Linked DNA regions of Xenopus tropicalis. The protein of the gene in region 6 purifies or fractionates together with the protein of the main gene of each other region. This does not show direct contact. Links are inferred from orthologs where the notes say so. Each region holds a gene or a part of one and is shown on either strand. Other genes may lie near its edges.

Region 1 (3,866 bases), on a different chromosome or scaffold from region 6:
CTGTCAGGCAACTGCAATGGTGAAGATAATAATCCTCCTGATTCAGATAATCCCCCTACCACTATGAATATATTCCAACCTCTTATATGTGCCCCTATACAGACACTTTGCAGAAATATACTGCTGAATGACCCAGCTAAGGTCCCCCTGTGAAAAGCAATGTTCTGAAAAAGTAAGAAGATCACTAAGGGCAGTGGCATAAGGGGAGATTGGCCTGCATGTCCCCAACATGTCATCCAACCGGCAAGAATGTAAATCGCCGGCGGGATGGCATACACATCGCTTCGGTTTTCTGAATTCGGCCAAAGTTTCCTTGCGAGGCATCTTCGGGCGACCAAAGCAATGCGTATATCAACCCACCGACTATTTACATTCTTGCTGGTTGGATGGCATGTCGGGGAGATTAGTTGCCCGCAATAGTGAAGATTTAATGCGGCCACTGCTGTAAAAGGCCATTTATGACTGCAGTGTGCAAAGTGCATTTTTGGATGCAAATCAATGCTAACTACGGCCATGCAGGGAGTTTCCCAGAAGTAATTAAAAAGACTCACAATACAGGTGTGCAATTAGCTTGCTATTTTGGCAACACTGGATGATTATTTTCACTATCACATCTTTTCCCCCACTAATGCATGTGTGTGTGTGTATATATATATATATATATATATATATATATATATACACACTCACCTAAAGGTTTATTAGGAACACCTGTTCAATTTCTCATTAATGCAATTATCTAATCAACCAATCACATGGCAGTTGCTTCAATGCATTTAGGGGTGTGGTCCTGGTCAAGACAATCTCCTGAACTCCAAACTGAATGTCAGAATGGGAAAGAAAGGTGATTTAAGCAATTTTGAGCGTGGCATGGTTGTTGGTGCCAGACGGGCCGGTCTGAGTATTTCACAATCTGCTCAGTTACTGGGATTTTCACGCACAACCATTTCTAGGGTTTACAAAGAATGGTGTGAAAAGGGAAAAACATCCAGTATGCGGCAGTCCTGTGGGTGAAAATGCCTTGTTGATGCTAGAGGTCAGAGAATAATCCTTTAGGTGAGTGTAGATATATGTATGTATAAAATAAGCAAACTTTAAAAATAACTTTAACAAGCACCTGAAAAACACTACCCACAATAAGTACAACTCTACACTAATGTCCCTACACTGTACTGGTGGTTTATTTAAAAGTTTTATATGGTTTATCTGGTTGATGACACCTGACTGTCAAAAACTAAAATAGTATAGCATAGATAAACAAGCTTCTGTGTAGCAATGGGGGCAGTTGAAATAGGGCTAAATTGCACATGTTAAATAGCAGATAACAGATCAACTCTGTAGAATATAATGGCGTTCTGCATAGCTTATCTGTTATCTGCTATGTAACCTGATCCTTTTTCCAATGAATGGCTGCCCACAAAGCTACACAGCAGCTTAATTATACAGTCTATAGTAGTGTTTCTGAAGCAAACACCTGTTATACCAGTGCAGGTTAACAGTATATTATACTGTTATTACTTATACATACGCTTTCATACACTTTGTACTATTTCATGCCCACGAGTGGCCAGCCGAATTCTTGGAGATAACCTTGTAACAGATAGCTATTATGTGCCAGTATAGTTGTATATTATATATATTTATTTTCCTTTTTTGACGCCATTTTGCCATTCTTTTCATGCATCTTCTTTCATCTGTCATGGCAGTATGTTTACCCAGTAACTTATAAATATGAGTGCTTTCATGCAAATTATTTGGTGTGCATATTGCATTGTGATTTTTTCAAAATTCCTATGAATCCAAAGAAACATTTTTACAACTGATCGTACTTGGGGGGGGTACTTACCACAAATAAGCTCATCGGAGCTATCGCTGCAGTCGGGGAAGGTGTCGCACTGCTGACTCATCATTATACACTGACCATTGGCACAGCGGAACTGATCAGGAAGACAGATAGCTGGAATGATAGTAACAGGAGTTTTTTTTCAATAATAAATCATAACTAGATAACAAATTGCACTTTATACTAAATAACTGGTCATGCATTTAATGGTGAAGTATAGATTCCCATAAATATTTAGTGAGTTTTCCTTTCCATGACATGAAATACAGCAAAATAATCAGTTTAACTGCTTTGAAGTCCACCTCAAGGTTATAAAAGCTGCCAACAAATTTACTACCAGGATACCTAGTTGGAAACAATGTTGGCAGCCTTTACTCAGTTTCCCCAGGTGCATCAATATGCAATGCTGCAGGCTGCTCTGTATAGCACAATATTCATCTGACATGAGCACAGTAACGCAATGAATTGTTTCTTAGCAGTTATAAGAAATATAATATCTCACAGAGATAAGGAACTGACACCCAACTGCAAGAACCAGTTGCTAGTCTGGCAAGTATAACTTGTACACTAACAGGGTAAAGTACTGCTACAAAACAAAATCAATACAGTAGTATGCTCTATAGCTAAATGGGCAAAAAAGAACAAACTTAAAAAGACAACAGCAACACCTGTACAACAAATATAAATTATAAGTCCTACTTACAGTCACAGTCCAATTCATCTGACTTATCCTGGCAATCAATCTCCCCATTGCATTTCTGACGGGCATCAATGCACTGTCCCTTCTCACATTGGAATTGGTTGCTTGAACAAACGGGGCAGTTTTCTTCATCACTATTGTCATCGCACTCTGAAAAGCCATCACAACGCCAGGCCATAGGAATGCAGTCAATGTCCCCTGTTGCACATGTGAACTGCTCTGGGGAGCAAGTGGGCGGCTCTAGAAACGGTGTGATACATTAATTTTAGTGATATGAACTGGAATTTATCATATAAGGCAAATACAGGTATAGGATCTGTTATTTAGAAACCCATTATCCAGACAGCTTTAAAACTACAGGAAGGCCATCTATCATAGAGCCCATTTTAAGTTTTTAAAAATCATTTTCTCTTTCCCTGTCCAGGTATGGGATCCCTTATCTGGAAACCCGATAAACAGAAAGTTTCGAATTATAGAAACTATCACCCATACACTCCATTATAAAAAAAATACATTTTTTTTAATGCTTTTCTTTGTCTCTGTAATAATAAACCAGTATACTTGTACTTGATCCCAACTAAGATTAATTAATCATTACTGGAGGCAAACAATCCTGTTGGGCTTATTCAATATTTAAATGATTTTTAGCAGACTTAAGTTATGGAGATCCAAATTATGGAAAGATCCCTTATCCAGAAAACCCCAGGTCCCCGAGCATTCTGGATAACAGGTCCCATACCTGTAATAATAAAACAGTACCTTGTACTTGATCCCAACTAAGATATAATTAATCCTTATTGGAGGCAAAACAGTCCTATTGGATTACTCAATAGTAAGAAATCCAAGTCCAGCTTGGGACTCCTCCAGTTACATGGGAGTGGGAGAAACAATAGGATACATGAAAGCAGCTCTAATGTGTACCGCTGGCTCCTTCTGAAAGCTCAGACTCAGGCACAATGCACTGAGATGGTGCCTACACACCAATATTACAGCTAAAAATACATTTGTTGGTTCAAGAATAAGATTTTAAATGGTAGAGTGAATTATTTGCTATGTAAACAGTATAATTTAGAAATAAAAAGTACACCATAAAAATAATGACAGTATCCCTTTAACAGCATACACCTAAAATAGGCCCAACAGCATGATATCGCACAAAGATTGCACTTTTATTTTAACCCTTAGGAAGTCAGTGTAGCTGGCGAAATGCGTAGTTTATATCATCTCTCCAATGGACTGGCCAGCTTACTAACATAAGGACCATGCACAGATCTGCAGCTTTTGGGATTCCTTACAAGCAAAACAGAACTAGGGATAGTAGAA
Region 2 (4,578 bases), on a different chromosome or scaffold from region 6:
CAGCATTGGGGATAATAGCCCAGCAGTGCCTATAGTGGTAGGGGGCAGATTACAGCAGTAGGGGGCAAATGACAGTAGTATTGGGGATAATAGTATAGTAGTACCTATAGTGAAAGTGGGGGTGATAGAAAAAATAATACTGCATTACCCCCTACAATGGCAGCAGAGAAAACAGCACTTTAGCGCCAACAGTGGCAGGGGCCAAAATAGCACAGCAGCATGTACGGCAGCCCCAAGTTAATGGCATGGCAGCTTCTGTAATACTAGTAGGGGTAACTGCAGCGTTGCCCACGGTTTGGGGTTGCAACACTCAATCCTACAGCTTTCAAAACTGCAGCCCCATCTGTTCCTGAAACCCCGCTGTTCCCAGGGGCGCTGGGAATTGTGCATCAACTCAGGTCCGGAATTTGTTTTATAAAATAATGGGGTTCTGCCTGGGCCCCAAAGCTAGGGGAGCTGATGCTGTTAAGCTTTACAAATGGAACAGTCATTTCATGATATTGATAATAATTCAGATTTGGGCGCTCGTCGGAAATAAATCAGGGCTCCCTGGTTGGGGGGGTGGGTTCCTCCTCACTGCCAGCAGGGGGCACCCAATCAGGAATTCTATGAAGTCAAAATCTTCCTCTAAAACCACCCAGACAGAGCACTGGGCTGTGGGATCCGCTGGTGCAGGCTTTTTTATATAATAATATAATCTTTTGTCTCTGCTTCTCGCTGCAGTCGGACTGACGCAGACCGCAAAGCCGCAGAATTGTGCAGCCACTGCAGCAGAAACCCGTACGGCGTTGAACATGTTAAACGGGGATATGGGGTTTTATTTTTTGCTTAAGCGCTGTAATGTACTAAAGAAGGGTATGTTCTAAAACAGCCCCGACATTGTGCCCAGTGGCCTGTCACACGGGGAGGGATCGCTTTATGGCACTTCCATAAAAAGCAGTTAATAAATAACCCTTCCCTGTTATATAAGAACTTTATCCCGAGTAACAGTCTCTCGAAATAGATCCTGGGCAGTTTCTATGTGAATATGTAACAAGGCAAGGGCAAGCGATTCCTCTGTATTGTGCCTTGCTGGGAGTCAAGGAGTTAATGAGAATTCATTCTACACCCTTGCAGAGCCACAGAGGGAGGCGCTGGGGATAGAGATATATATATATACACACACACACACACACATACATATATATATATATATATATATATTTACCTATATACACACACACTAGTTTTTTCAAGGCCAAACTAAGATAATAAAACAATGGCAGCCCCCCCCCCCCCCATCCTTCCTACAGAACCAAGGAGAAAAAAAACTCAAGTTCAGTTTAGATTTTTAACCCCTCGCCCTATCACACCCATTATTTACAGGCAGCCCCTGTGGGTGTATAAGTAGAGACAGAGGAATATATACAACATATCCCGTATAATAACAATATATATATAATAGAGGTGAGAATTTGGTGTTGAGGTGAGGTAGAGAAGAGGGGGTGCAGGATATTCCATATTGGAAATAGGGGGGCAATGATATAGAGTGGGTTCTAGAAGAGGGGGAGCAGGATATTCCATATGGGCAATAGGGGAGCAAGGATACAGAGTTGGTTCTAGGAGATGAGGGGGTGCAGGATATTCCATATTGGAAATAGGGTGGCAATGACACAGAGTGGGTTCTAGAGGAAGAGGGGGTGCTGGATATTCCAAATGGGCAATGATATAGAGTGGGCTCTAGGAGAAGAGGGGGTGCAGCATATTCCGTCTGGGCAATGATATAGAGTGCGTTCTAGAAGAAGAGGGGGTGCAGGATATTCCATAGGGCAATAGGGGAGCAAGGATACAGAGTGGGTTTTAGAGGAAGAGGGGGTGCTGGATATTTCAAATGGGCAATAGGGGAGCAAGGATACAGAGTGGGTTCTAGGGGAAGAGGGGGTGCAGGATATTCCATATGGGCAATAGGGGGGCAAGGATACAGAGTGGGTTCTAGAAGAGGGGGTGCAGGATATTCCATATGGGCAATAGGGGGGGCAAGGATACAGAGTGGGTTCTAGAAGAGGGGGTGCAGGATATTCCATATGGGCAATAGGGGGGCAAGGATACAGAGGGGGTTCTAGGGGAAGAGGGGGTGCAGGATATTCCATATGGGCAATAGGGGGGCAAGGATACAGAGTGGGTTCTAGAAGAGGGGGTGCAGGATATTCCATATGGGCAATAGGGGGGGCAAGGATACAGAGTGGGTTCTAGGGGAAGAGGGGGTGCAGTATATTCCATATGGGCAATAGGGGGGCAAGGATACAGAGTGGGTTCTAGGGGAAGAGGGGGTGCAGTATATTCCATATGGGCAATAGGGGGGGCAAGGATACAGAGTGGGTTCTAGGGGAAGAGGGGGTGCAGGATATTCCATATGGGCAATAGGGGGGCAAGGATACAGAGTGGGTTCTAGGGGAAGAGGGGGTGCAGGATATTCCATATGGGCAATAGGGGGGCAAGGGTACAGAGGGGGTTCTAGGGGCAGACACAATGCAGGGCAGGGGTAAGTATGGAAGGGTCCATTTGCAGATGGGGGGGCAGGGTGTGGAAATGATAAACACGGGGGGCTCCCAATGTTGGGAAGGGGGGGGGGTTGGAATTAGAAAATCACCCTCAGCTGTTCCTTACCGCAGTCTGGGTCTCTCCACCGCTGCCATACCGGGGGCCTCTCTGGACGCGCTTTGGGGCTCCCCCCACAGAGAATAGGGGGACAAGCTTGTGACCCTGCCGGCTCCCGTCCGCCTCCCGCATTGATCAGTCAGTCAGAGCCGCTGCAGGTCCGGCTGCTCCCCCATCTTACCCGCTGCACCCCAATAAGCACCGGGAACGCCAGTGGCCTGCCCTGGAAGGTGAGCGGGGGGGGGGGGGGGTAAATGCAGATATTGTTTCTAATCAACGCAGCCCCCCTGCTGGCAGCTATTAGAAGCCCCCCCGGGCAGCCTTCCAGCCCCCTGTGTTCCCCTCAGTCCGCACCCCCATGCAGGGAGCCCCCGCACCCAGCCTCCCAGCGAGCTGCACGGAAAGTTGCATTTAGGAAAGAGAAAAAGGCAGAGGGGGGGGGGGGTGCGATCCCTTCTCTGTGTGTCTCTTTCTCCTGCCTTCGCGGAGCAATCGAGCGCCGATCGCATGGATTCCAATGGGGAGGGGGGGGGGGGCGGGGAGAGGCTGTACTTTCTCAAAGTGTCTCCCCCCTCCCCTTCTCCTCTTCTCCTCTGCTGGAGAGGCTGTGTGGGATTTCTGTTTAACCAACACATTTCAATCAGGAGTAAAAGGGGGGGAGGGGGGGATCCTATTAACCCTTCATGGAGTCACAAAGGAGCTTGGTGCAATGGGAGAGGGGGGGGGGGAGGCAGCCTTGCTGTGTTTGTATTGGGGGTGGGTATTGAAAGAGGTCATCTCCCCAGTCATTATCCAGCTCCCTGGGTAGGTTTTATGAAGTGCAAGCTCTTGGGGCTGGGGGGTAGGCCCAAGACTGCATTATTATTATTAACGTTTATTTATAAAGCGCCAACCTATTCCGCAGCGCTGTACAATAAGTGTACTACAGGTGGGCAAAATCGGGCGAATCTAGGCTAATTCGGTTCTAATCGAAACAGAACGACGGGTATAGAAAAAGTCGAATCGGGGACCACATCCGACTAAATTATTTAAGCTGCCGGATCGATATATGTCTGATTTCAGGCCAGATATCGGTCGGGCAGGCCAGTCGTTAGTGCCCCTACACAGGCAGATAAGCTGCCGAGTCGGTCTAAAGGTGGCCATACACGGGCCGACTATAGCTGCCGATATGGGTCCCTTGGACCGATTCGGCAGCTAATCGGCCCGTGTATGGGCAGGGCAGAGCGGCCTGGCCGACCGATATCTGGCCTGAAATTGGCCAGATCTCGATCGGCCAGGTTAGAAAATCCGGTCGGATCGGGGACCGCATCAGCTCGTTGATGCGGTCCCTGATCCGACTGCCCCATTGCCGCCCACATAATCCGATCGTTTGGCCCCAGGGCCAAACGATTGGATTATTTTTTTTTTTACCTAAATGCTCCCCGATATCGCCCACCCGTAGGTGGGGATATCGGGGGAAGATCCGCTCGCTTGGCGACATCGCCAAGCGAGCGGATCTGCTCGTGTATGGCCACCTTTAGGGACCCATATCGGCAGCTACAATCGGCCCGTGTATGGGGACCTTTAAGCTTGGCGATGTTAGCAAGCAAGCGGATCTTCTTCAGATATCCCCACCTACAGGTGGGTGATATCGGGCGAATCCAGGCTAATTCGGTCGTTTGGACCTGGGGGCAAACAATCGAATTAGAGTGCCAGTAATAGGCGAAGTCGGATCGGGGAGCGCATCAATGAGTCGCTGCAGTCCCCGATCCGACTAAATTTTTGAAACTGCACGATTGATATCTGCCCGATTTCAGGCCAGATATCGGTCAGGCAGGCCCGTAGGTAGTGCCCCTACACGGGCCGATTAACTGCCGAATCGGTCTAAGGGACCCATATTGGCAGCCAGGGGCGGGCGTGGCCGACCAGTTGCCCTAGGCAACCCAGGGGGGTGCCATGGGT
Region 3 (4,299 bases), on a different chromosome or scaffold from region 6:
CCCCTCTATATTAGGGTTCTAGAGGCCCTCTCTGCTCTACTAGTACAACTACCCTACCAAGTGGCTGTGAGCACATTTTTTGGTTTTCTGCACCATGATACCTCCCTTTTCCTCTGCCATATACCCTTATAGTACACCTCCATATCATACTCTATGCACCAATTCCACAAACTCTTGCTATGTGACATACAGTACTAATGCCCCTAGTTTCCCCATCTTTTTCTCTGCATGAATATATGCCCCTATTCCCACTTTCGCTCTGACATACTTTACTAACACCCCTATTACCCCACCAGTTGCTCATTGACACTCTAATGTACCAATTCCACCATCTCTTGCTCTGCAACATTCTTTACTAATGCACCTATTTCACCATTAACAATTATTTCCTTTTATTGCTATACTAATGTTCCCACATCGTTTGCCCCTATCCCAGCATCCCTTTCTCTGTCCCATATGTTGCTCTGCCATACTCTAACACATATTTGCTCCCATACCATTTGTTCCCATCTCTGCCATACCATTCCAGCTTCCCTTCTATTGCTCAGCGCCACTCATACACCTGTGCCCCCATGTCATGCTCTGCCCTATACCTTACTAATGCCCCTGCACCCCCATATCCCAATCAGGTTATGTCCCCATCTACCCCATAGGCCACTGACACACCTGTGCCCCCAAGTCATGCTCTGCCCTATACCTTACTAATGCCCCTGCACCCCCCATATCCCAATCAGGTTATGTCCCCATCTACCCCATAGGCCACTGACACACCTGTGCCCCAAGTCATGCTCTGCCCTATACCTTACTAATGCCCCTGCACCCCCCATATCCCAATCAGATTCTGTCCCCATCTACCCCATACGCCACTAACACACCTGTGCCCCAAGTTATGCTCTGCCCTATACCTTACTAATGCCCCTGCACCCCCATATCACAATCAGATTCTGTCCCCATCTACCCCATAGGCCACTGACACACCTGTGCCCCAAGTCATGCTCTGCCCTATACCTTACTAATGCCCCTGCACCCCCATACCCCAATCAGGTTATGTCCCCATCTACCCCATACGCCACTAACACACCTGTGCCCCAAGTCATGCTCTGCCCTATACCTTACTAATGCCCCTGCACCCCCATATCACAATCAGATTCTGTCCCCATCTACCCCATAGGCCACTGACACACCTGTGCCCCAAGTCATGCTCTGCCCTATACCTTACTAATGCCCCTGCACCCCCATATCCCAATCAGGTTATGTCCCCATCTACCCCATAGGCCACTGACACACCTGTGCCCCCAAGTCATGTTCTGCCCTATACCTTACTAATGCCCCTGCACCCCCCATATCCCAATCAGGTTATGTCCCCATCTACCCCATAGGCCACTGACACACCTGTGCCCCAAGTCATGCTCTGCCCTATACCTTACTAATGCCCCTGCACCCCCATATCACAATCAGATTCTGTCCCCATCTACCCCATAGGCCACTGACACACCTGTGCCCCAAGTCATGCTCTGCCCTATACCTTACTAATGCCCCTGCACCCCCATATCACAATCAGATTCTGTCCCCATCTACCCCATAGGCCACTGACACACCTGTGTCCCAAGTCATGCTCTGCCCTATACTTTACTAATGCCCCTGCACCCCCATACCCCAATCAGGTTATGTCCCCATCTACCCCATACGCCACTAACACACCTGTGCCCCAAGTCATGCTCTGCCCTATACCTTACTAATGCCCCTGCACCCCCATATCACAATCAGATTCTGTCCCCATCTACCCCATAGGCCACTGACACACCTGTGCCCCAAGTCATGCTCTGCCCTATACCTTACTAATGCCCCTGCACCCCCATATCACAATCAGATTCTGTCCCCATCTACCCCATAGGCCACCGACACACCTGTGCCCCAAGTCATGCTCTGCCCTATACCTTACTAATGCCCCTGCACCCCCATATCACAATCAGATTCTGTCCCCATCTACCCCATAGGCCACTGACACACCTGTGCCCCAAGTCATGCTCTGCCCTATACCTTACTAATGCCCCTGCACCCCCCATATCCCAACCTGTGCACACCACATCGGCTCTGCCCCCTCCCCTCCATTACCCATTAGTGAAAATGTGCCACTCCCTGCTGATTTCCAGCCCAGCTTGGCTGTTTACTGTTGGCTGCCAGGCATTTCCCAGCGCTGCGCCCCCTAGCGTATGGGTATAGAGCTGATCAGGCACAATGGGGCTGCCCGGGGACGTTATGGTTCCCAACTCGCTGTGCAGCCTGGCGGGGGCTGCTGGGAGTTTAGGGCTAGTTGAGAGGCCAATGAGGTCCCGCCTTACCTTTGAGTGGAGGCAGGGGGGAAAGCTCCACAGGGGGCCCCTGCCCGCGGAACTGGGACGAGCCCTGGGAGCGCCCCCGCCTCTGGGCTTTCCGCACCGACTTCCGCGTAAATCCATCCACCTTCTCGGCTGCCGATATCGCCGACATGGCCACTGCCAGGCCCGCGGGGCCACCTGCCCAACCGAGCAGGGAAACGAGGGGGGGGGGGTTCGGGCGGGAAGTGTGGGGTTAATGTCACGGTGACAGCCCCCTCCTCCCCCTAGTGCTGCCCTCCGGCAGGAGAGGAGGGTCCCCTCTAGCGGCTCCTCGCCCCTGTTCTCCCCGGCATCTCCCCTCTTCACAGCAGACAGAAAGTTTTTTACAGCGCTCCGACCGCCATAGACTGGGCTGCACTAGGGGTCGCTGGGCGGCAGGCGGGCTTCCCGTGTCGGTCTAAAAGTCCCTCAGTAAATCCAAAAAAACCGCAAGCCCCCACCCCCGAACTCACAAGGCGACCTGTGGCGGCAACGTCGCTTACCGCCGCCAGCACCGACTTCTGCTAGTGAGTGACAGCTCGGCTGCCCAATCGGAGGAATCAGGAGACACGTGACGAAGGCGGAACGTTCTCAGTGTTCGAAGCGCTGAGTCGGTTAGAAAATGCTTTCCTCTCAGTGACCGCTAGGGGTCAACCAAGCGCCTAGTGAATGGAGGCGAGGTCTAATAATGGACGTCATACTTTTGAAGTTCTGTAGTTGGGCTGTACTGCCTGGGTGTCTAAGTGCTATGTTCTAGTAAGCGCTGCCGCACACTTGGAACATAACACGATCAGGAAAAGGAAGCAAATGACAACCAGAAGGCCGGTTTGGCAGACTTGCGAATGTGCGTGTATACAAATTCTCTATTGGCTGATAGGAAGTGGGGCTGACCAATCAGAATAAACGCTGTGTTAGGCGCCGGACCAACGGGGTGCGTCCCTTCAAAATATGGCTTGTTGTGAGGGAGTCTCTGAGGTGATTGTGTGTGTGTGTGTGTGCTTCACTCACGTTGCTCAGAGTTGAGACGGATAGGTTGTTGCTTACAAAATCGCACGTTTGTTTTCTGGTTGGGGCTGCATTCTCACACAGTTGCGCGAATGTCCCCATATATAATTAGTCAGGCCTTTGGCTTTGTGTTAGGGAATGATCATCTGGCATATTATTGTGCAACATGGACTCCAAGCGCTTGGTATTAGTTTAAAGCAATACTGTCGTGGGAAAACGTGTTTTTTTTTCAAAATGCATCAGTTAATAGAGCTTCTCCAGCAGAATCCTGCATTGTAATCTGTTTTCAAAAAAACAAACATATTTTTTTATATTTAATTTTGAAATTTCACATGGGGCAATATTCTTCATTTCCAGGGTGTTACAACCATGTGACTTGTGCTCTGATACACACTTTACTGCTGCGCTGCAAGTTGGAGTCATATCACCCCCCCTCCCTTCCTCCTACCCCCCCCCCCCCCCCACACACACACACACACACACACACACACACACACACACACACACCAGCAGCCAATTAGCAGAACAATGGGAAGGGAGCAAGATAGCATCTCCCAGTAGGTATCAGAATAGCACTCAATAGTAAGAAATCCAAGTCCGGCTTGGGACTCCTCCAGTTACATGGGAGTAGGAGAAACAATAGGTTAGCTGAAAGCAGTTCTAATGTGTAGCGCTGGCTGAAAGCTCAGACTCAGGCACAATGCACTGAGATGGCGCCTACACACCAATATTACAACAACAAAAAAATACATTTGTTGGTTCTAGAAGATAATTTTAGATGGTAGAGTAAATTATTTGCTATGTAAACAGTGTAATTTAGAAATTAAAAGTATACCATAAAAATCATGACAGTATCCATTTAAGGTGGGGGTAGCGCTGAAATAAAGAATGAAAGACATTGATATTGTGTGTGTCTATTTAGCTTGGAGCAGTGGTA
Region 4 (3,866 bases), on a different chromosome or scaffold from region 6:
CATGGAGGCAGTGTAACACAGGGAATAGGTCTTACATGAAAATATGAGAAAATAAGTCTTGGAATTATCAGCATTTCAACAAAAATATGGAAAGAAAATAAGCAGGAAGTATAGTGTTCATTAATGTGCATCCAAGTCTGTAAGGAAATGACTCCAGTATAATATTTAATAGCAAATGGTGTAGTTATTTTCAGGTTCTACTGCAAAGTGCTGTATTAAAAAATGTAGTAGCTATTATATATATTTTCCAGATTGTTTAGAATTGTTTATGTGCATATAATCAGTATGTACAGAGTCCTCTTAGAGTGTGTGTGCATGGACTTTACTTACACAGGGAGAGGTTAAAGAATGCCCACTAGATGGCACTGCTGCAACACTAACCAAATAATAGGGACAGATCCTCCATTGCAAGGAAGAAATAAATGATTTTGTCAGAGATTACTTTGCTAAACGCCAACCTAAAACATGACACGGGATGCCCTCATTACAGCATGTTGGGAAACCATCTTATATTGAATGGTCCTCATGTTTAATATTAAAGAGATAGTAAGGTTTTCCAGTTTTAACTAGAATGCATCACTATGCCCAGTACTAATGCTGCTTGTAATAAGTGCCTCTGTCTCCCTCTAAATCATCACTACTCACTTGTGTCGACCACTGATACAGTTTTAAGAACATGGAAGTCATAACGGACGCCGGGCTTTGGTGGGCATGGCAATGTACCATTAGGCTGATGCACTGTATACATATGTGCTCTAGCCAATCAGCACTTTGCCCTGCCCCACATCAGTTAGGATTGTCCTGTGCAAGGGCAATACAGGTGATGGCTGAGAGGCAAGGGGCAGGATTAGGGCTGGATGCATTAATATAAGCACAGTGACACGTTCTCGTTACTAACCCTTTAATACTGGTACATGGATACTTAGGCACTCCAGACCAGTAGTACACATGCATGCAAAATGACATAAATGGCACAGGAAGCTGTGCATGGATGCTTACAGAAAATGATCTTGAAATGGCAGGCAAAGCTCACTATCTCACAGATCAGCCCCCGACAATTTTTAAGGAAGATGTAAGGGACACTCCACTCCATGCTATAGGAATGTTACAATAAAGAATGTCTGTGGTGTTTGTGAAGGCGCCCTGCCCTCTTTCTAGGCCACACTATCCATCTGTTATATTTCTAGTGAGAGCTGGGCACAGAGACAAAACATAGTAAAATGCTACAAAAACACACTGCTCAGCACCATTAAACCATAAGAAATGACAAAGGCGGTAAGTCAATTGGTGACATGCATAAGTGACGTACAAATTGACATGCAGTGGTGGTGTAACTTGTTTCTGCAGCCTTCTTCACATACAGTCAGACTCTCCTCGTCCAGCATCCCTAGCAAGCAGATCGGGCACATCTGCTCCTCCTCATCTTTCATGCTAAAAATATACAGAAATAAATACATTCACTTAACTAGAACAAAGTCTAAATAGGTTTCTTGCATGCAGGATCCCTTTTAAATGTACACACCCTAAACATTTTACTTAAATTGGGTACGATGTTACATTTCAAAAACCATCAATTCATGTAGCATGCCTTCTGCTGATGTTGGACTACAGCTTCTAGCATCCTTCAACATATAATCAAGTGAGGATGAATGCTGGGTGTTGTATTAATGGTGAATGGAGAAAGAATATACTACTTGGGTAATTTCATAAAATTAAAAAAAGTTTTCCAAAGTCTAGAAACCCATACCAACCAGATATCTGCTTTCAAACAGCTGACCAGTAAACCTTCTCATTGGTTGCCGTAGGTTGATACACTATTAGCAGACTTTGCATTTTATTAGATTAGATGGATACAGAGGGTTGAATTTACAAGGTCCTGATGGGGTACAGCACAAAAGGTTCAGTCTGGTCCACAGAACCAGCTTTTTGGATACTAAATACTCAAAATAAATGAAATGTGCTACCACAGTGGAAGATTGCACTTCAGGTTACCTCTCTTGCTTGCAGGCTGGTGACTTCTCCTGCAGGTTCAAACTGATCTTATCTTACACAGAGTGGGATGTGTTTGATATGTTATTGTGATGGATTATATTTAAGAGAATTATCTGCTCTGTATTAAGCTGTGGACTATCAGTAGGATAAACAAACTGCAAGAGTATGAACTGGGCATATTAATCGTTATGTTTAATTAAGATCAAACATTTCATCAATAAAAGCAAATCCCACAGGCACGCACACAGCAAACTGCAATAATGATTCCTCAATACAAACCTGGTGTCTGAACTAGATGTAGAGGTGGTAGATGATGACAATGTATGTGAACTGGACATGCGTGACACAAACTTCTGGATGGTGTTACGAGATGGAGCTTTGATCCTTGAGCTACGTCTACTGTGATATTTCTGGAACAAACTCTCAACCTACCAAATAAAAAGAAAATAGCAGTGACAAGATACTGCTTTAGTTTGTTAGCCATTGTCTTTACAATGATACGCTGCTTCCGTGCCTGTTAAGCAGCCATGCTACAGGCTAAAATTACGACATTTCCCACGACCACTGGTCATAGGAACGATCATTTGTCCGCTCTACTAGCATGAAGAGTTGAATTGACAGATCTGCAGGTAAAACCAAAGGAATTCTTTACCCCATCTGACGATTCAGCATTAATGTTACTTTTAAAGGCGCCCAATCAAAATTTCCAGTCCTGTCTGATTGGCAACAAGACCTATAACCAAGGCTTTTACTGATATTGGCCATCCCACCACACACGCACCAATAATGGTTTAGTGTGATATTGGTGTGTGTATGGCCAACTTTAGGGCAATGATACATGGAGATATTTGTAGCCAGCGTTAAAAAAAAAAAAAAAAATCGCTACTGATGACTACAAATATCCCTGAAAATGCTTTGCCATAGACTAACATTGGCTATGCCCCAAGTAAAACATATTGCTTAAGGCCATCTGGCTTTATCATGGGAAACTGTGAAGACAGACAATTTCCCAAGATTAAACCAGACTGGCATGAGCAATATGTTTTACTTATGGCAATGGTAATGTTAATCTATAACAAGGCCTTTTTTAGGGAGATTTTTAGCCAGCAATAGCTACATGGCTACAAACCTCCCCATGTGTCATTGTCCTTACGTAGATTCCCAAGCTTACAGCAAAATACAAAAAAAACCCATAAATAACTATATATTTGCACAAAGCGGATATATGCTTACCTCAAAATTCTTCAGTGCTTTTCTCCACAACATGGTGTCAGATGGTTCTAACTGGAAGACTCTTAACATGACGAAGAGAAGATGGATGCAGAATGTTCCCCTGCCACAGCTACAGGCCTGCAGTAAGGAAATACATGTTTATGTGGCACTGCAAAAGTTAACAAATACAAAACACGCAGATGGTTAAAGTAAGTTTAGCTGTAGATTCCAGGTGTTTGTGTATCACCATGAAACATAACCAGTTCAAAAGTAGATCACACAGCTACGAGAAGTAATTATGAAACTGTAAGAGTTTTTTTATTAGCAGTGTAAGCAGAGACCTTTCTCAAGTGTGAAGAGCTCTGCCCGAAACATGTTGTGAGCTTACACTGCTAATAAAGAAACTCTTGCAGTTTCATAATTACGGCTTGGACCTATTTTATTTGTATACTTTTGAATATTCCAAAGCAAAAGTACATAAGTACCCTTAAAAGGGCTATGGCACCCATACAGCAATTTTTTTGTAGAAGCACCCTGAAACCAAGCCTGCAGGCTCCCATTGACTAAGTAATTTACCTGAAACTACTACTATATTACAGTCAATGGGAGCCAGCAGGGGCTGAAATATGCTAGGGGGAATAGAACCCACGAACCATTAGCCT
Region 5 (3,167 bases), on a different chromosome or scaffold from region 6:
CCTCACAGCATGTCCTTTTTCAATTGTGCTTCATTCAAGGTGACATTTAAAAAAAATAATGGCTTCATTTTGTTTAGGGTGTGTGTATATATATGTTTCGAGAAATACCCTAGGTGGGTTGAAACGTCAGTCTCCCTTCAATAAATCTTTTTGATATTGGACATAAGACCTGAGTAGTGCAGATTCCTCCATTATTTATGCTTTACTTTGATCATGTACACATGAATGCCAACCTTCTGTGTGTGTGTGTATAAAATATATAGATATAGATAGGTATAGATAGATATAGATATAGATATATATAGATATATATAGATATATATAAAAAATATAAAAAAAATCCCATATATATATTTGCTCCTTTTAATTGGATAAAGCACCTCTTCTGGTAATAGTAGCAGTGTGGTGAAGGCAGAACGCTGTATATGTGTTACATGTCTTTGCATAAACTTGTGTAATATCTGTTTATCCCTATTATCTTTGCTTTGTTTACCAGGAGCATTCGGGCAGAGTTTTCCGCCTGCAGTTTGATGAGTTCCAGATAGTAAGCAGCTCTCACGACGACACTATCCTCATCTGGGATTTTCTCAACGACCCAGCTGCACATGCAGAGTCAACGCGTTCCCCTTCTAGAACATACACGTACATCTCCAGATAAATGACACTACGTAGTACCTCAGAGTTGCACAGGTGGGTAGGAGGAAGTGCTAAGTACACCAGTCATTTGTCACTGACACATTTTACATTTGCAGGCAAAAAATATGGGAAAATAGTAAATCTTGTGTGGGATTATGAGTTTTTAGATCACAGTCGGCCATTATTAGCTAATACTTTCTTTAACTTGTGTTTCCTAAAGGCCAGTTTTTGTTTTAGCTTGTATTAATGTGCAAGTCTACTGTGTCATTACTCACAGTATCCCAGTGCTTAAGGGATTCTCCTCTGATTGTCTTGGCAGTAATCCACTGGGTTCCATCTGCTCTGGTGCCCAGATCCCTCTTGATGATATGTGCATGCCAGGATATTATCACTACTGTTGTACTGATTACATTCCCATTCCCCCAGGACCACATTTACATTGAGGGGTATATTTATCATGCTTTGTAAAAAGTGGAGTGAAACATTACCAGTGATGTTGCTCATAGCTGCCAATCAGATGCTTTGCTTTTGTTTTCTAACTGTTGAAATCTAATTGCTGATTAGTTGCTCTGGGCAACATCATCGGTAATGCTTGACTTAACTTTTTACACCGCATGATAAATATACCCGTAAGGCTACTGCCACACGGGGGTGGGGTTTTTTTTCTGGCCTCTATATAAGCACATGCCTAGAGTCTCTCCAATCCGATTTGCTTTATGGTGTGTCTGCAGTGTCGGACTGGGACCCCAGGGGCCCACCAAAAAACTTTAGACCATGGGCCCACTCTCCAAACTAATTTTCCTCCTTTCCTCACTAAAACCACTTTATTCTCCAAGTCTCTTTTATTTACATGCTAGCATGTATTTCTCCTCTTTTTTCCATTCAGAAATGGGTAATAAGCATGAAACAGGCCAAATGGTCAGGAGCAGGAGGGCCCACTGACACCTGGGCCCACCAGGAGTTTTCCTGGTATCCTAGTGGGCCAGTCCAACTCTGTGTCTGCACCCACACATGGGGAGCATTTTCTGCTCCAAAACACGTGAGAATGAATATTTACTCCAAAATCCACTCTGTGTGTCTGCACCCAGGCCCACGCTGTGCCTCTGAGTGCAGACACCATACAGCAGAATGGAGAGGAAGGGTTGGTTTCTGGAGCTGTCATTTTTCCTTAAAAACTCAGCTGAAGGGCAGTGAGATGCACGAAAAGTATTATGGATATCTGTATTGCGGCCTGCCTTTCCTCCTCACAGTCACCACTTCCACCTTGTAAACTTAGTTACAGAACAGGACCACAGCCATACAGCAAAGAGGATAAGAAAGAAATGGAATAGCACTGTAAATGCTTTCACACGTGCAAAATTTCTGCTGTGTCCTTGGATCTGACGCATTTTAAACCCCATCAGATATCAGCAGGAGGCTACCAGATATCTGCTGGCAAGTGATCTCCTCCTACACATGCCATCAGATGGATGTTACCCTAGGCATCTCGTGCACACTGTGCACATCTGATACCTTCTGCTTTTTACATTGCCTTTCTTCTGTTCGCCTTGACATCAAGGAAAAATGCACTGTCAGGAGAGACTGATGTCAGGTTGGTTGAACACAATAGAGAGGATTTGAGAGTACATTTAGGATTCAGCTGCAGGCATTTGAGTTCAGCGCACATCAGATGCTTCTTAAGTGTCAGCCTGACCGGCTCCCTTATGGTATGTACACATGGACATTCCAAAGTAGGGCTGAGATGTGGCTCGTGGTCCCTTGGGATGTAAAAGCAAGAAGTGGAGTATATCATTCTATTTATCTGACACTGGTTGTAGCTTTTTGTGTCCTTTCTTTGTAAAAAAAAAACATAGATGAACCTTTAATCTTGCCTCTCGTTTACTCCCTTACAGGACTTGCTTGAGAAGTATGGTAACTAAACCACCTGTGAACGCCGGGAAATAAACATTCTACTTGACCAGTATTTGCTGAAAAAAAAAAAATATAGAGAGAGAGACCCATTATCCTGACTCATCCTGGAATATTGCTGTCAGGCAGCTGGAAGCAGCCCGGGCCAATCTGCACAGTGGACTGCATGATTGCTGCCATGAGAAGAATTCTTGTATCTCCGTCATTGTCACCGGAGTCTGCAACTTATTGCGTGGCGGTGGGTTGCACACTCCAGTGGCGGCGGCTCATTACTCAAAACTTGCAATTTAGAGATGAAACCTGAGAGACTGTAGCAGTCACAGATCTTTGAAATCTATTTAAATGTCTTGCCAGGATTCCTGTTGCTTCGCTGTCAGCAAAAGAACAATTTTCATTTTTGTCCCACGCTCACGCTGCTTTAAGGTGTGGTTCCATTCGGAGATCTGCTGAACGTTTTGCAAGTACTTGTGAAGTGAAAAGCGGGAAATGGGTTACTTTCTTTTAAGATGATGACTAAGACCCCCCCAAGTGATATAAAAATGTATGTTTTTATCATAGTAAGCATGAAAGGTTATTTTTTATTTATTATTTTTTTTTTCCATTAATTTTTTCATTCTTCAGTG
Region 6 (4,561 bases):
CATTCCTTTTCTCTGGTTCCGACTCCTGAAACAAGTTAGTTCTGCTCTCGATAGTTTCTGCTATACTGATTCAGAAGTCAGAGCCAGCAGTGCAGAGAATACAAACACCCAGGCAGCGTTTTTCCATACCAATTACATTTACACATAACTTCAAAACCAATGACATTTATGAATGTATATACTGCTTACAGTTACATGTCAGTTACAACGAAAATATATTTTAAATATCTATCTCTCCTTGATAACTATAAGACTTCTGTATAATGTGTCAAAAATACAAATATTATATAACAAAGAAGTTGCTGGTCCTGAGAGTTCTAATTCCAATTTGATATATACTATACATATATATTTTCTTTTTTACACACATCACATTACACATATATTCACTTTTTTTTTTTTTATAAATAGACATTTCCCCCCCAACAATGAGGATAGATTTCTTTGGTCAGACCAAAAGCAGATATAATAAGTCAGGAGTGGGCACACAGCCTTGCAGGATTATTTGCAAATGATCAGTATATATCAGTAATATACCAAGCACTGGGTGCCGATGGATCAGGTAGGCAGGTAGGAACACAAGAAACAGGGTCCCCCACACCCCCAAGGCGTCTGGCTACGGCATTCAGATTCTGACATGCACAGAATGCGGAGAACTTCTGCCCCCAATATATATTGGGCACCATGGAAAGTGCTAATGCATGAACTGACAATACCCCACACTCCCACGGTACCTTAGCATTTCTTACATAAAACTGCAGTTGTAACGAAAACTATAAAGCCAATCATACCCCCAACCCACACATAAACTGGCTTAGTCCCTACAGCAGCAATGAGCAACCTGTGGCCCTGCGGGTATTGCCACAGCAGCCCCCCTGTTTCCTTAAGGGTGAGAAGCCCAAGGTAGGTGATGGAACACAGTGAGCAATGGTCAATAAACACCTTGCTGAACTACAATTCCCACCCATGGTGAAACTGCCGGACAACCCACAGAATACAATTCCCACCATGATCGATTTAATGGTCAAGACACTCAGAGCTACTAGTAGCAGCAACTAAAATAGACAATGCTGATAATTTACTGATAATTGTCTCTATGTGTGTTTTAGAAGACAATTCTCAGTATTGTCTATGGCAGTGGCAGCTACCTAAGGGTGAAGACACATGGAGCTACTTAGTAGCAGCTTCTTGTCATGGCTGCAAAACACCAGAAAACACCCTGACAATACTAAGAATTGCCTCTGCTAAAACACACGCAGAGACAATTATCAGTAAATGATCAGCATTGTTTATTTTTGTAGCCATGACAAGTAGCTGCTACTAGTAGCTCCGTGTGTCTTCACCCTAATACTGCACTGCTGCTGATTCTCCAGCGTTTGTAGCCACAGTGCATTTGCTAGTGAAACAACTCCCATCACCCCGCTATGCAGAAGTCAGAGCCAGCAGTGCAGAGAATACAAACATCCAGGCAGCGTTTTTCCATACCAATTACATTTACACATAACTTCAAAACCACTGTCTATGGCAGTGGCAGCTACTAGTAGTTCTGTGTCTTCACCCTAAGGGTGAAGACACATGGAGCTACTTAGTAGCAGCTTCTTGTCATGGCTGCAAAACACCAGAAAATACCCTGACAATACTGAGAATTGCCTCTGTTAAAACACACGTAGAGACAATTATCAGTAAATGATCAGCATTGTCTATTTTTGTAGCCGTGACAAGTAGCTGCTACTAGTAGCTCCGTGTGTCTTTACCCTTAGGGTGAAGACACACTGAGCTACTAGTAGCAGCTACTTTTTCATGGCTACTAAACTCTAGAAAATCCCCTGCCATAGACAATACAGAGAATTGCCTCTGCTAAAACACACGTAGAGACAATTATCAGTAAATGATCAGCATTGTCTATAATAGTAGCCGTGACAAGTAGCTGCTACTAGTAGCTCCGTGTGTCTTCACCCTAATACCGCACTGCTGTGGATTCTCCATCGTTTGCAGCCACAGTGCATTTGCCAGTGAAACAACTCCCATCACCCCACTAACAGCTTATCACGTAGATAAGTTGTCTCCCCCCCATTAATGATGGGATCCCTGCAAAATAGTCCCCCCCCCCCAGATATAGTAAGGATGTAGTAAAGCCCCAGTAAAGCTGACAGATATCCCCCATACAGCCCTGTGGATGATGCTGAATTAAAACTCCCAGTAACCCCTCTGAGCCCAGAGATGTAGTCATTCAGTGTCTGGTGATGTTCATCCCTGGGACTACATTTCCCAGCATGCTCTAGCAGAAAAGCAAAGCATTCAGAGCCCCAATGTTGGGAATAAGGGCAGCAGAGCAACCTGTGATGGACTCTATTACCACAGCCACGTACAGGGCCACAGGGTTCCCATGCATGCCTATAGACGGGCCAGGGTACGGGGCTTCCCAGTAAGATGCGGCCCAGCGGTACTGGCAAAGCCGGGGCCTGGCCTACAAACTGGATCCGTCCGCCTCTCCTGGAAAGTTTCCTCCCCCCGTTCCTCTCACACACACACAGACAGACAGAGAGCCGTGTGGCCTTGCTCCTCACCCAGGCAGCCCTGAGCCGGCTCTTGTGCCCAGCCGTTCCGGGCCCTCTCCCTCCGCTCCGCAGCCACCCATCAAGCTTCCAGCTGGAGCCGCCACCGCGCAGGGATACTCGGGAAACAGGAGAGCGCAGAGCGCCGGGATGCGGCCATGCCCCGGACAGTGCGATACACAGTGAGTGAGTGTGTGAGAGAAACACCGTGCACGGCACCCGCGGGAGTGCGCATTGGCGTGCCCGCGCCTCACATGCGCGGCCCCGCAGCTTCTCGCGATTTTTCCCGCCCCGCTGGTACGCGCAGTCATGTGACTCCAAGCAGCTCTCCGCTTTTTACCTCAGGGATGCGCTCCCCGGCTCTAATATGGGGTGTCTGTGAGGTGGGAATAGTATATGTAGGGCAGCCATGGGCCCTAGGGCCCCAGTGTGGGAGGGTTCTCTGAGGAGGGATGGTAAGAGTTGGTGAGGAAGCTTTTGGGCTGTAGCTCCCACAAGAACTACTCTGGTTATGGGGTGAATTGTGGTCCTGTAGTGTATGTCCTAGTATTCCAAAGCTAGCCAATGGCTGCCAGGGGGGGGCTGGGAGTTGTGGTTTTTAATGTAGGTAATGTCTCCCAGCCTTCTATTGGTGGGAATATTGAGGCAACTAAAGTAACAATCACGCTTTGGGGCCCGTCTATCGAAGTCCGAATTCTGGACTTCAATAGAAAAAAATTCGTATTAAATCCGATAATTTATGATGTGCGTTAAAAACGCGAAAAATTTGTATCGTGGTCATACGTAAATATTGTGGTACGGTCCGAATGATCGTAAATGGCGCGAAAACCTTTCTAACTTTGAAACCTTCTGTGCATGATTTTGGAAGCCTCCCATAGGGCTTAATGGCACTCTGCAGCTCCAACCCGGCCCAAGGAAAGTCTCCCATAGGGCTCAATGGCACTCTGCAGCTCCAACCCGGCCCAAGGAAAGTCTCCCATAGGGCTCAATGGCACTCTGCAGCTCCAACCCGGCCCAAGGAAAGTCTCCCATAGGACTCAATGGCACTCTGCAGCTCCAACCCGGCCCAAGGAAAGAGTGCCATTGAGCCCTATGGGAGACTTTCCTTGGGCCGGGTTGGAGCTGCAGAGTGCCATTGAGCCCTATGGGAGACTTTCCTTGGGCCGGGTTGGAGCTGCAGAGTGCCATTGAGCCCTATGGGAGACTTTCCTTGGGCCGGGTTGGAGCTGCAGAGTGCCATTGAGCCCTATGGGAGACTTTCCTTGGGCCGGGTTGGAGCTGCAGAGTGCCATTGAGCCCTATGGGAGACTTTCCTTGGGCCGGGTTGGAGCTGCAGAGTGCCATTGAGCCCTATGGGAGGCTTTCCTTGGGCCGGGTTGGAGCTGCAGAGTGCCATTGAGCCCTATGGGAGACTGTCCTTGGGCCAGGTTGGAGCTGCAGAGTGCCATTGAGCCCTATGGGAGACTTTCCTTGGGCCAGGTTGGAGCTGCAGAGTGCCATTGAGCCCTATGGGAGACTTTCCTTGGGTCGGGTTGGAGCTGCAGAGTGCCATTGAGCCCTATGGGAGGCTTTCCTTGGGCCAGGTTGGAGCTGCAGAGTGCCATTGAGCCCTATGGGTGACTTTCCTTGGGCGGGGTTGGAGCTGCAGAGTGCCATTGAGCCTTATGGGAGACTTTCCTTGGCCGGGTTGGAGCTGCAGAGTGCCATTGAGCCCTATGGGAGGCTTTCCTTGGGCCGGGTTGGAGCTGCAGAGTGCCATTGAGCCCTATGGGAGACTTTCCTTGGGTCGGGTTGGAGCTGCAGAGTGCCATTGAGCCCTATGGGAGACTTTCCTTGGGCCGGGTTGGAGCTGCAGAGTGCCATTGAGTCCTATGGGAGACTTTCCTTGGGTCGGGTTGGAGCTGCAGAGTGCCATTGAGCCCTATGGGAGACTTTCCTTGGGCCAGGTTGGAGCTGCAGAGTGCCATTGAGCCCTATGGGAGACTTTCCTTGGGCCAGGTTGGAGC
Region 7 (4,401 bases), on a different chromosome or scaffold from region 6:
ACAGTGGAACCAGCTGCCTTCTTTGCTACCCTGATGAGGTCTGCTGCAAAGTTCTAGTTGTTAATGTCTCTAGCAAAAGGGGCAATGGAATGCATCACATTGAAATGGATAATCATGGGTCTATGTTCTTAGGGTAGAGAAATGTTATATAATCACCAGCACATGTGTTTAAACTTAACTTCTAAATTTGGTTTCAACAGACAAACTGGCAACTATGGACTCACAATATACAGGGCCTTGTTACAAATACTGAGATCTTTGACAAATCCTCCCGTTTATTGTGTACCGAATACTAAAATGCTGTCTTCTGTAATTATTTTATTTCAAAGTACAAAAACAAAAAATGCAGCTTGAAGAATTGCAGTAGCAGCAGCGCCATACGGTGGGACTGCTTTTCATTTGCAGGGAGTGGGCATCTTGTTAGAATAAATGTGTAAAATACAGGGAAATTATGGAGAAAAAGAAACTTACTAAACCTACTAAAAACTGTAGTTCATATTTCAGCAGAAAAATGATCCCAACAAGCAAACGTAACAGTGAAGTGGTTTTAGAACAAACCTAAAGCACTATTTGAAAATTAAGGGGCAAAATAGTCATCCAACTAACCCAACCAGCCTAGAAGAATGGGCTAAATGTACTTTAAGGATAAAGACACAGTGACATTCCCAACACATGTTAGAGTATAAGTTGCTGCAACTAATCACCCGCGCGGATTACTTTATCAGAGCCCAGCTTGTGGTCACATGGTTGTGGCACCCTGGGAAATGAAGAATATGGCTAGCCTCATGTGAAATTTCAAAATTAAATATAACAAAAATCTGTTTGTGTTTTTGAAAAATGGATTTCAATGCAGGATTCTGCTGGAGAAGCTCTATTAACTGATGAGTTTTGAAAAACATATTTTTCCATGACAGAATTCCTTTAATTGTGGTACATTAATATGTATGCAAATACAGTAATACAGGGGTCTCAAACTCGCGGCCCGCGGGCCATTTGCGGCCCTCAGTACAGTATTTTGTGGCCCGCACCAACGCCTTCTCAAAAGCAATGAATGGATTGCGATTTTTATTGCGATTCAAGGGATAATGCAAGGCACGGCGGGCGGGAGCTGCTGATTGCGGAAATGACGTTATGCCATCATAACAGTTATTATGGGAAGACGTTCTGTGTGCACAATTAGCTCCTTAGGAGCTAATTGTGCACACAGAACATCTTCCCATAATAACTGTTATGATGGCATAACGTCATTTCCGCAATCAGCAGCTCCCGCCGTGCCTTGCATGATCCCTTGAAAGCCAATTTTTTGTGAAATCCCTTATGCTGCCCAGCCTCATCCTGACTTTGCCTCCTGCGGCCCCCAGGTAAATTGAGTTTGAGCCCCCTGCAGTAATATTTTTAAAAAAAATAATAATTTTGAATTAGGTGCAAAACTGCACACGCAAGCTTAGTATGGCAGCACATGAGCCAGCGCAAAGGCTATGTATGGGTGCAGCCACAACTATCAGATTTTTCAAGCGTAGGGGTGGATTCTTGGCCTGCGTTTATCAGCAGGATGAGAATACACTCCATGTGGCACTAGCCATAAATTTTAGTGCTTTGAAAAAAGAAAACAAAGAACACAATTTCAATGTAGATTCTGTATTAGAAACAGAATCTGAAGATGTAAGAAGTTGTTTTACCTCAAACTGCCAAAAGCAATATATTCAATCATATTAAAGAGGAAATTGAATACCTAAACTGGTAACTTATGCAAAAGTGTTCTGTTTAAACTATTAGGTTCATGGTACATGAAATGTCTTGTTTGTCAGACGTTTACAGCCGGCAGAGCTGTAATGTGTGACAGAGAGGGTTGAAGCATTTGATCATACAGTGTATATTGTAAGCTCTACGGGGCAGGGACCTCCTTCCTACTGTGTCTCATACCACATGGCACTTAATCTCTGTGTATTTATATTTATTGTATTTATTATAACACTTGTCCTCCCCGTGTGTAACTGTGTATATTGTAAGATTTACAGTACTGTGTATCCTTGTAGCGCTTTATAAAGTTGTATATACATACATTTCTGTTTTCTGTGGCAATTTAGTAAGAACGCCAAGACTTTATTACCTATACTGCACTGTTGGCTACACAACAAAACAATTCAGACCATCAGATCAAATATTCACTGGGTAAAAGTTTGCTGGCTATACATGGCTGGAATTCCCTACCAAGTTCGCCACAGCCTACTACTGCCTGCAATCACCATGTCCCACTACAGCAAGTGGTTACAGACTTTTTCTGTCTCAAAACAGCAATGGTCAAAACAACCTGCGTGCTATTGGCCTCAGACCATGGGACATAGATATCCAATAAAAACAAAACCCCAACATCTACATATCACATTTGCAACCTATTAAAGCTATACAGGGAACAATACACTGTTATAAAATATAGGACATCAGAAGTCACAAAAGCGTTCCATAACCATATAAAGGCAGGAGACCACATGCCTGAAGATTTAAACCAGGTGTTTAAACTTCTTTGTGACTTCTATGTTTATATTTTATACCAGGGGATGCTTGCTTTATTTATTATTATGTACACATTTCAATGAATCATGCACATAAACATTATTACTAGAGAAATGTTATAAGCATATATTTTACACATTAATAATGGCTTTCATGTATTATACCACCTTGCTCCCCAATCACTCACCCAAAGTCATCATCCATAGATTTGAAGAAGAACTTGTAGTTTGGTTTGTTGAGGACATTCTTAAAATCTCCCAGTGTCACTTTCTCTGCAGGGACTGGCAACTTCACTAAATATGGGGTCTCCTGTTCATCCAGGTGGTAGATGACCTTGGTCTCCCCCATAATTATCCAGCTGAGAAAGGGGTATTATGAGAGGGAGGGACAATACACAGATGTGGGGAGGGGCTTAGCCCCAAAATCTGTCATACAAAAGAGGCCATAGAGAGCACCGTGATGGCACCAGACTATATTAGCCTGAAAGATGGAGTGTCAGGTTATGCGGTGCCAAGAAGAGAAAGTATGGTACTTGGGGACAGAAGGTCTCTAGAGACTTAGTGGGGGAGGGAGACACTTTAAGAGGTGAGAGTGTTAGGGGGGAGGGGGGAAAGAGAAAGCCCGTCAGAAGCAGAGATGATAGAGCCGGCAAACAAGAAAGAAAGTGTGTATAATAGGGCCAGAGAAGACAGACAGCCAGTGCCTCTGTGAAAGCGATGAGGGTGAGTAAACAGTTTCGTGTGTGGCCTGTCAGTCTTTTCTCACGTCCGGTGTCCCTTGCTGTTTCCACAGCAGGCCGATTTGTCTCCAATACGCTTGCACCTTACTCTTTAGGCCTAAATGGTTCAGTGAATCTTTGTGGGACGTTCTCGCCGCTGCTTCCTCGGTTTGTCTCTGTCACTCGGTTGTCCGTCTCCTAAACAGCGCGCATGCGTCAAGACGACTACACTAGCTGCGCCCAGCGCATGCGCAACGCAAACTCATCCTCAATAATAATCCAGCCCCTTGTCATGTGATTATTTCCAAATGCGCCTGAACTTCCGGTACTGATGTATGAGGCAAAGGTAGACAAAGGTGGCCAGTAAATGTGGGAGACTGCATCTAGACAAAAGGTTTACAAACCTCTATTTCGCAGTAACACTTATTGAAAGGATTAAGTCTAGTCTAGATTCTACCTAGAAGTTAAACTCAGGAACCATGTACCAGGATATTAAAAATATTAATATATTAATAGCAGAATAGCTCCAGAATCTCCCATAGGTCGTGAGGTGGGGTGGGAACCTTATGAGAATAGTGAGTGCAGCTTGCAAAATGTTGAGGACTTTGCTCCCTGGTCTTGTATGCGTGTTCAGCAGCTCTGTATTCATGAGTAGAATACCCCTTTACCTAGCATAGAAGAAACAGAATGACATCAAGTAATCTTGTGAATTAACATTATAAAATACAAATTTAAGACACAATCTGTATCATCATGAGTTTCTGGATGTGCAAGTTAACAAGAAGTCTAGCTGTCTACATAACTACAGTATTTATCAAATCTGCAAAATCTCTGGGCAAGAGTTGCCATTAGGCTTGCCATCTGGCTGGTAAAAATTATATTTGATGCCAATGTTATTAATAGGGGAAAAGGCAAACATATAGGACCCCCTAATATTTTTTTCTTGGAAATGTGGCAACCCTAGTTGCCATCCAAAAATATGACTGAGAATTATCCTAGTTATTTAAGTGCCCAAAAGAAACTGAAGGGCAATATCATTTTCAATTAATGTCAATCATAAAACATTAAAGATATTCTTAAAGTGCACTGACATTTTTTGTTTTTTTTTCTGTTTTGATATTATGGACTATTTTGTATAGCTCAGTGAAATAAAATCACAGTTAAGGGTG

What was found.
Region 1: the proteins of axin1 (region 6) and lrp5 purify together in Homo sapiens (affinity purification with western blotting; 3 studies listed by BioGRID). This does not show direct contact. The link is inferred for Xenopus tropicalis from reciprocal best matches to the Homo sapiens genes AXIN1 and LRP5.
Region 2: the proteins of axin1 (region 6) and hipk2 purify together in Homo sapiens (affinity purification with western blotting; 3 studies listed by BioGRID). This does not show direct contact. The link is inferred for Xenopus tropicalis from reciprocal best matches to the Homo sapiens genes AXIN1 and HIPK2.
Region 3: the proteins of axin1 (region 6) and ppp2r5a purify together in Homo sapiens (affinity purification with western blotting; 3 studies listed by BioGRID and IntAct, with this or other methods). This does not show direct contact. The link is inferred for Xenopus tropicalis from reciprocal best matches to the Homo sapiens genes AXIN1 and PPP2R5A.
Region 4: the proteins of axin1 (region 6) and map3k1 purify together in Homo sapiens (affinity purification with western blotting; 5 studies listed by BioGRID and IntAct, with this or other methods). This does not show direct contact. The link is inferred for Xenopus tropicalis from reciprocal best matches to the Homo sapiens genes AXIN1 and MAP3K1.
Region 5: the proteins of axin1 (region 6) and btrc purify together in Homo sapiens (affinity purification with western blotting; 7 studies listed by BioGRID and IntAct, with this or other methods). This does not show direct contact. The link is inferred for Xenopus tropicalis from reciprocal best matches to the Homo sapiens genes AXIN1 and BTRC.
Region 7: the proteins of axin1 (region 6) and dvl3 purify together in Homo sapiens (affinity purification with western blotting; 3 studies listed by BioGRID and IntAct, with this or other methods). This does not show direct contact. The link is inferred for Xenopus tropicalis from reciprocal best matches to the Homo sapiens genes AXIN1 and DVL3.

The regions. Positions count from the first base shown.
Region 1 is NC_030680.2:37,131,430-37,135,295, forward strand, and holds part of lrp5 (low-density lipoprotein receptor-related protein 5), read right to left. Parts: intron 2,784-3,866; coding exon 2,547-2,783; intron 1,958-2,546; coding exon 1,847-1,957; intron 1-1,846. UniProt on the Homo sapiens protein: Acts as a coreceptor with members of the frizzled family of seven-transmembrane spanning receptors to transduce signal by Wnt proteins.
Region 2 is NC_030679.2:7,974,451-7,979,028, forward strand, and holds the start of hipk2 (homeodomain-interacting protein kinase 2), read right to left. Parts: upstream 3,130-4,578; 5' UTR 2,647-3,129; intron 1-2,646.
Region 3 is NC_030681.2:14,669,838-14,674,136, forward strand, and holds the start of ppp2r5a (serine/threonine-protein phosphatase 2A 56 kDa regulatory subunit alpha isoform), read right to left. Parts: upstream 3,090-4,299; 5' UTR 2,491-3,089; coding exon 2,343-2,490; intron 1-2,342. UniProt on the Homo sapiens protein: The B regulatory subunit might modulate substrate selectivity and catalytic activity, and might also direct the localization of the catalytic enzyme to a particular subcellular compartment.
Region 4 is NC_030677.2:190,927,148-190,931,013, forward strand, and holds part of map3k1 (mitogen-activated protein kinase kinase kinase 1), read right to left. Parts: intron 3,343-3,866; coding exon 3,226-3,342; intron 2,421-3,225; coding exon 2,272-2,420; intron 1,432-2,271; coding exon 1,310-1,431; intron 1-1,309. UniProt on the Homo sapiens protein: Component of a protein kinase signal transduction cascade. Activates the ERK and JNK kinase pathways by phosphorylation of MAP2K1 and MAP2K4. May phosphorylate the MAPK8/JNK1 kinase.
Region 5 is NC_030683.2:30,626,004-30,629,170, forward strand, and holds the end of btrc (F-box/WD repeat-containing protein 1A), read left to right. Parts: intron 1-496; coding exon 497-658; 3' UTR 659-690; intron 691-2,528; 3' UTR 2,529-2,618; downstream 2,619-3,167. UniProt on the Homo sapiens protein: Substrate recognition component of a SCF (SKP1-CUL1-F-box protein) E3 ubiquitin-protein ligase complex which mediates the ubiquitination and subsequent proteasomal degradation of target proteins. Recognizes and binds to phosphorylated target proteins.
Region 6 is NC_030685.2:15,101,930-15,106,490, forward strand, and holds the start of axin1 (axin-1), read right to left. Parts: upstream 2,859-4,561; 5' UTR 2,568-2,858; intron 1-2,567. UniProt on the Homo sapiens protein: Component of the beta-catenin destruction complex required for regulating CTNNB1 levels through phosphorylation and ubiquitination, and modulating Wnt-signaling.
Region 7 is NC_030681.2:100,195,603-100,200,003, forward strand, and holds the start of dvl3 (segment polarity protein dishevelled homolog DVL-3), read right to left. Parts: upstream 3,064-4,401; 5' UTR 2,863-3,063; coding exon 2,702-2,862; intron 1-2,701. UniProt on the Homo sapiens protein: Involved in the signal transduction pathway mediated by multiple Wnt genes.